Linked DNA regions of Caenorhabditis elegans. The protein of the gene in region 2 purifies or fractionates together with the protein of the main gene of each other region. This does not show direct contact. Each region holds a gene or a part of one and is shown on either strand. Other genes may lie near its edges. The genes, in order: cey-2 and car-1.

Region 1 (3,730 bases), 7.3 Mb from region 2:
ATTTGTTTTTACTTCAGCCATTCCTTCTTCCCAGATGCTTGATAATCCTTCGAAACATGGCTGAAAATTAATTGAATTTTTGTTAGCTGATACTACAGCTGATAAGCCATGGTTTAAACCAATCTATCTCTACCACAACTTACAATTTCGATGACAATACTCTTAATTTTTGAGAATCTCCAAATACGTAAAAACGCTCGCATAGCTTCTGCAGTATGATCGGGGCATTCAGTTTGACGTCTGAACATTTATTAAGACTTTGAATTTTCTCTTTTAATTTGAAGTTTTGAACAAAGAATACTCACAGTGAGGTTCCTCGAAACTCCACCATTCTGCTCACAACTCTTCCAATCTCATTTTTCCATTTCATTATCAGAATAGTTTTCTGAAAATAACTGGGTTGAATAAACAAAGTAATTCAATTAAAACTAACAGCTGTAGAGGGAAGCTCCGTAATTCCGAGTTCGTGAAGCTTATTTGGAAGAGTTGAGCATATCTGAGAGTTTTCCCAGCTGACCAACATCATGTTTTGTTTATCCTGCAAACGGATTTTTTCTTTATCTAACTGATTTGATGGAAATTTGAGCAAAATGATTTCGCAACACTTACTGGGAATGGTAGTCGAGTGAGAATATTTCTGCGTATTTCTCGTGGCAAGTGCTTCCATCCAGCCTCTTCTTCTATAATTTGGCAATTTCAGATTTATCTTCATTATTAAGCATTAACTAACCCTCGAAATCCATTATTTCTTCCAGTGCCATTTTGAGTAGAATGGAACAGCGGAAAGAGAAGAAAATCGGCAGAAAAAACGGGAACCTCACGCCCAGAGGCAAGAGACCCAGAGATGTAAAGAGAGGCCGTTTGAGAAAGAATATCAATGGCGCAGGTCGATCAGAGACATGAAAATAACACAATATAAAATGAGGATGCACAGAAAAGACGTGGAGGATAGAAAATGAAGTTGGAGAGAATGGACGATTTGAAAATCAATTTTTTGAGAGTACTGTGCGAGTATTATGACGTCAATTTCTGGAAAGGGCAGAGTACATTAGTTTTTAGAAAGCATGAACAACATCACGGAGAACATTAACTAAAGTCACCATTAAAAAAACAAAATTGGAAATAGAAATTCCGAATTCGTTTGAACATTTATAATGAACACTCGTTGTACTAATTGGAGGCAGGATTAAACACATTTAGATTGTCACACGGGGCCTAAAGCGTTTTTATATTCTTAAAGTAATCTCTTAATGTATAAAAAAGAGACATTTCCCTTAAATTGGAAAGTTAAGGAGTGTCACAATAGGAAACAACTGGAAAACAATTGAGAAAATCTAAACTTTAGAACTTAATTCCATTTTTTCTATCTCAATTCCGTAACTTTCAAAAAATCATAATACGCTTTACGAGGGAATGTTAAATAATGAAATATTTTAGAATTTCAGTGATTATTATAAACTATTTAATACCAACAATACTATCCATATCAATCAGTTAAACAATCGTTTAAAAATTCAAGACAGTGATGACAAAATGATAGAAAATAGTAAAATAGCATATTGCAAAACAATCTGATACAAATTTGACGAAAAGAATCCAAAAATTGTTTAGGAATTTCCTAACCATGCATTGCGTTTGAAACACCGCGCGAAGTTAGATGTGCAGGTTACCGGGTTACTGTAGTACGGGACCCATTAGCTTCGCAGATGCGCGGCCCAAAACATTCATTTCGATTTTGCAGCTTGAAGTTCACGCGCCGTGAGCTGTTTTTCTCATTTCTAAATTTTTTTGCTGCTGATTTTCGACTTTAGTTTTGGTTACGTTTTTGAGCATGAGCACATAGCTTCTGTTAAATATTCTTTTTAATCTTTACCCAATTTTTGTTTAATGACTTATTAAAAGTTACCCTCTTACAGTCAACCTCACTTGCTTCAACCAAATTTACGACTATGTCGGACACCGCAAACGCCGCTGTCGAAATCGGAGAGGAAGCTCTCGAGCAGAAGCTCGAAGAGCTCTCTGTTCAAGATAAGACAACGCCAAGCAACAGCGAAGAGAAGATGCGTAAAAGAGTATGTTACACATTTAAATTAATTTAGTAATTACTTAATTTAGCGTCTGCCGACTGCTGAGCGCATCCGTCTGTGGGAAGAAGAGCAGAAGTCGAAGACAGCCATTACCACCGGACTTCAAGGAAAAGTGAAATGGTATTCTGTTCTCCGTCGCTATGGCTTCATTTCTCGCAACGATGGCGAAAAGGACATCTTTGTTCACCAGACAGCCATTGCCAAGTCAGCCACTGAAAAGTTCTACCTCCGTACCCTCGGGGACGATGAAGAGGTTCTCTTCGATCTCGTCGAGGGAAAGAATGGCCCAGAAGCTGCTAACGTAACAGGACCCAACGGAGACAATGTCATTGGATCGAGGTGAGGGTTTATATTGACCATGGAAGTTTTTAAATCCTATTTTACAGATACCGCCACAAGCTTCTCTCTCGCTTCCGCAAGAACCGCAAGCCCAGAGCTTCTGTCGATGGAGAGGAATCCCAGTCGACCGATGCCAAGCCACAGGAGATGTCGGCGGATGCTGAGAAGAAAAAGCCAAGAAAGCAACGCAAGAACAGAAATCGCAAGTCGAAGGCCCAACAGAAAGGAGCTGGTGATGCCGCTGATTCATCGGCTGTCACTGAATCTTCCGAATCTGCTTCTGACGTTGCTTCTCCAGACTCCAAATCTTGTTCCAAGATCATCACAGAGGAAGCTGGACTTTCCAAGGTTGACCGTTGCGACTCTGCACTTGGAGAAGCCGGCCTAGGAGCCCAGCCAATCGATGCTCAGATTTAAGATCCATTAATGCTTATTTCTCAAATTTGTACCTTTGTACATATACATAGTACACTTTATCATATTCCCAATTTATGCATGCTATTGTAAGTCCCTATCCCTCTTGTTCTTCAATGCCACATTGCCTCAGCTTGTAATGAGAAAACCTCTCAATAAAACCGTTTACCGGTAAATTGAATGTTTATTTCATAACAATGACTCATCATATCAGCTTCTCAAATCTTATCAGTGAGATATCTCTGATGAAAATAGGTCACCAATTCTTATTCGGCATATTGATTAGTTTCGTACAATGATTCGCATAGGACGACTGTTTTTATTCTGTTCTTTTATTTTGCACATTGCGGCAGAAAGGTGAACGAATCATGAGCAATAGTGAGAAATACAATTTCGTCTATTCAGATGTCCGCCTGTTTTCGGTGAGTATGAGTGCCCAGTTGGATTTACTTGTGAAGAGAAGCAATGCTTTGGTAGGAACAAATCCCCATCTACATTCTGTTCATTCGAGGTTTTCAAGTTTTGATGAATATTTTCAAAACGTTTAGTTTAGGTAGAATGTCGAGAGGGATTCGTTTGTTCTGAAGGAAAATGTTATCCAATCACTTCAGTGAAATGCAATCGGTACAGTTAATTTCTGAATAAGGAATGATAACAACTTGTCAGAGCAAATAAAACACAATTTTCAGACACGTATTGGTAGCTGAAGGTTCAGCTCGAAGCATAGTCTCCGATTGTGGAAAACATGGAAAATGCGTCAACGGGCAGTGCATTTTGAATAGTGGGTATTTTTATAAATTAGTTTTAAAAACTAGTTTTCTCGTACATATTACAGGAACACGAAATTCTGAGAATGCGTATTGCGCAACATATTTGACGCGCAAAATATC
Region 2 (4,040 bases):
TATTACTGTTCCTATACATGATGAAATAAATATACACGTTTGATTGGGTTCTTTGCTTCCTTTTTTGGAAGTTTTTAGAACAACTGGCAAGAAAATGGCGAAGAATGTGCGAAATTTCGGATTCAAGTGGGCGAAAATTCGAAAATTTCGAATTTTTTGACAAAAGTCGAGAGTTCCGGAGTCATATGGCAGCCAATTAGGCGAAAAGTTCAATATTTTGCGGGAAATTCCCAAAAGCCGAATCCACAGGCCCAGCTTAGCGATACGATGATAATTCTCAAGTTTTTAACACATTCTTCCTGGAAAATAGATTTATACACGTATTATATTATAGAGAAAGCTGAAATCCTAAAAAGAAAGTAACAAAAAATATGAAAATTTTCGAATTATTCGCTCAAAGATCGCCCTTCCTTCCTCGGAATCTCGATCTCATGTCCACCAGTGATCGCTTGCAGTCGGTGAAATTTTGGAGAACGGCGAAACATTTGTCGGGTACACTTCCGTCGCCACGTGCATCGATGCATTCCTTCGCAGATCGAGCTTGAACTTGCACACAATGCGAGTTTTTGATGCATTTTTTGAGTGCTTGACGTAGACGATCACACGATACACCGGTCTTCTTTATCTCGTTGAATTCGTCTTCTTCAAATTGTTGGGATTGGGAGTGTGCGGTGATTCCGGCCATTTTTCGCGGGAGTTTGCCTGAAAAATCGAATAAAAATTGATTTTAGAAGATATAACTAGTTTTAAACAATAAAATTTAAGTAAATTTCAGTCTTTTTCACAATTTTATCACAAAAAAACGAGAAAATTCAATAAATTCGCACAAAAATTGATTTTATTTCATTTAAATTTTGAAAAATAATTAGTGTCGATTTACGGAGTTGGCACGGTGCCAAGATTTGCAGAATCGTGGCGAGACCCACAAAAACCTATAGCAAAACATGCGCCTTTAAATGGGATTGGGGTGCAGCGCCATTTTAGGATTTTTGTTGTTTTCTTCGCAAAATTGTTGATTTTTCGTTATTTTTTTTGATTTTCTAGGGAAATTTTCAATGTTTTATTGCTAAAATAATTATTTTTGACGTGATGAACTTAAAGTTACAGCTTAGAATCATTAAATTTTGCGAATTTTGATAGAAACTTCCCATTTTTTGTGATTTTCAAGTTTGAGCTTACCTTTTATTTCTTCTGCCGATTTTTAGCTGTTTGAGAAGTTCAATTAGTGAGTTTTCGGTTCTTAATACTCAAAATTATTTTTACTGCAATGGTACGGCCGTGGCTGCGCAGTACCTCATAAAATAAGTGGGCAGACGGATGCAATCACGCTCCATCGGCGCAGAATCGATAACGATGACGGCTTCGCATTTTACTTTTAAACTTTTGCAGCTTTTCCCACTTCTTATAAGAAATTAGGGCTTTAAACTGTCAGTGTTATCCTTGTATATTATCGTTGATGTTCCTCTAAGACTTATTGACACCTCCGTATCGATTTTAGGCCAATTAGGTTAATTTCTAAGGTTTCTCGACACAATTGAGATCGCTTCGACATTTTTCGTAGTATTCCGCAAGATTTTGTTTTAGGATTGATAGAAGCGCACATTTACACGGTTTCAGTTGTTAATTTATTCTCCTATTCCCGACAATATTGCTCTTCGTCTTTCTTCAAACGTTGTGAAACTTAAATTATATTACATTTTTGCAGGTAATAATGTCGAATCAAACACCGTACATCGGAAGCAAGATTAGTCTGATCTCCAAGCTCGACATCCGTTACGAGGGAATCCTCTACACCGTCGACACCAACGACTCTACCATCGCGTTGGCCAAGGTTCGCTCGTTCGGAACCGAGAAGCGTCCAACTGCTAATCCGGTCGCCGCTCGTGATGATGTCTACGAGTACATCATCTTCAAGGCCAGCGACATCAAGGATTTGATCGTTTGTGATACTCCGAAGGCGAGTTGCCGGATAATCGAGCTTCATTGATCTAAATAATGTCTTTTCAGATGGCCAACATTGGAGGAGGGCTTCCATACGATCCAGCCATCATCTCTGTCTCCTCGAGATCAGCCCCAGCAAGTGACGGAGCTCCAGCTGCCTCTGCAGGTTCTTCCAGAGCCGGAACGCCATCCCGTAACAGTCCGTTAGGCCAAATCATCCAAAATCAACGTCCAGGACGTGGAGGTTATCAGCAAAGTCAGTTTTATTTTCTTTCAAATCAACTCTGGATTTATGATCATGTTTTCAGACTTCCAAGCTAACCGTGGATACAACAACTACCGCGGAGGATTCGCTGGCGGATACAACAACCAAAGAGGGCACAACAATTATGGAGTTCCTCGAGTTAATCACCGCGAAAAGCTGAAGTTCGAATCGGACTTTGACTTCGAGAAGGCCAATGAGAAGTTCCAAGAAGTTCTCGTCGACAACCTTGAGAAGCTCAACATTGAGGATAAGGCCGAGCCAGAAGTTGAGGAGAAGAAGGATGCTGCCTTCTACGACAAGAAGACTTCATTCTTTGACAACATCAGCTGTGAATCACTGGAGAAAGCCGAAGGAAAGACTGGACGGCCAGATTGGAAGAAGGAGAGAGAAACGAATCAGGAGACGTTCGGACACAACGCAGTGCGTTCGTTGAACTACCGTCGTGGATTCGGAGGACGAGGACGTGGTGGAAACCGCGGATATGGAGGTATAGTTCCACTTTAGAAGTTACAACGTCTTATGCTCAATTTTCAGGTTACAACAACGGATACCAGCATCAACACCAGCACCGTGGAGGATACAATGGAGGTTATCGTCAGAACAACGGTGGATACCGTCGTGGTGGATATGCTCCACGTGACAACCAAGGCAATACTGCCGCAGCTGCCGAACAATAAGTTCGAATTCCCTGAAATTGTTTTCTCCCCACATCCCCATACCCCGATATTAGCCGTTTGTTAATTTATTATGTAAGTTTATCCATTCTCCCCCCCCCCCCATCAATGATTACCCTTGTCTCTTCTCAACTATTGGCGTGTTATAAGAAACCCGTTAATTATTTAGAAATCTCGTACGATTCAATGCGGGCCTTCTGTTATTTTGTAATAATTATTGCGCACCCACCCACCGACACACATCTCCCATCCAAAAAATTCCCAATGTTTTTTCTTCCCCCACTACAATAGTGATTGGACCCTTCCCCCGTTTTTTTAAGTTCTAGCTTGTGAATTTTAAAGCATGTCGTTCTGTTGTCCTCAGTTTGTCATTTTAATAAAATTGCAGTGACTAAACTGTCAAATCGTTTGCACCTGCTCTCCTATCATCCCACACCCCGCCTTTTATGATTGTCTTCTAGGAGATATGAAATTGTTTTTAAGATCTTCTCTTAGATTTGCTATAATATTGCAAACCCTTCATTCTTAGGTAGACAAGCCCTGAGAAATTGTGATTTCCCCGTATAAACTTTTTGTTTTGTATCATTGCTTCGATGTTTTCTTTCTACAACTTGGAAGCCAGTTGGACATGTAAGGTGTCAAAAAATATTGGTATAAGTTTGCTGTAATTTCAAAAAGTTCGATAGTTGTTCTGGCGACTAAATACGTAAAGAATAGCTAACAAATGTTACTTTATAAAAACTATTCAGCGAAACTGATTGAAGTGAACACATTAAAGAAATAAATTAAACATTAAAAGAGAAAATACATAATAAAATTATTCCTTGGTGATCTCGAACTTCCAGGGGCTAAAGTCGATTTTGACGCTATGCCCTTTGAAGAGACAGCGAATAGTTCCCTTAACTCCTCCATCTCGGGAAATTTCGAATCCAGAGGCATTCGGATCGAAAACTCTCGCAGCGTCCAAACTCATACCCATGCAGAATTCCCATTTTTTGAAATTTGTGGACTTCATGAGGCACTGAAAAGTTATTTGAACTAGTTACAAGCAGTGTAGGTGGAATAACTTACATTTTTGATTTCAACAGCCTTTCCAACAGTAACCAATTTGGCATAGCGATGATAATTCCATAAATAGCCAAACGTCGACGGTATTCCAG

What was found.
Region 1: the proteins of car-1 (region 2) and cey-2 purify together in Caenorhabditis elegans (affinity purification with mass spectrometry, with the first as the bait; 2 studies listed by BioGRID). This does not show direct contact.

Annotation. Positions count from the first base shown.
Region 1 is NC_003279.8:5,617,653-5,621,382, forward strand, and holds cey-2 (CSD domain-containing protein), read left to right. Parts: upstream 1-1,916; 5' UTR 1,917-1,949; coding exon 1,950-2,072; intron 2,073-2,115; coding exon 2,116-2,426; intron 2,427-2,473; coding exon 2,474-2,843; 3' UTR 2,844-3,016; downstream 3,017-3,730. Other genes in the region: xrep-4 (F-box domain-containing protein), read right to left, coding at 1-60, 144-240, 306-385, 434-538, 610-680, 731-761; F46F11.7 (Tenascin), read left to right, coding at 3,136-3,197, 3,246-3,351, 3,394-3,464, 3,530-3,621.
Region 2 is NC_003279.8:12,902,765-12,906,804, forward strand, and holds car-1 (Protein LSM14 homolog car-1), read left to right. Parts: upstream 1-1,705; 5' UTR 1,706-1,711; coding exon 1,712-1,957; intron 1,958-2,007; coding exon 2,008-2,197; intron 2,198-2,249; coding exon 2,250-2,693; intron 2,694-2,740; coding exon 2,741-2,883; 3' UTR 2,884-3,276; downstream 3,277-4,040. Other genes in the region: coa-5 (Cytochrome c oxidase assembly factor 5), read right to left, coding at 395-685. UniProt on the Caenorhabditis elegans protein: Transcriptional regulator. Involved in modulating embryonic expression of ATP-dependent chaperone cdc-48.1. May play a role in mRNA gene silencing, and RNA granule (P-body) assembly.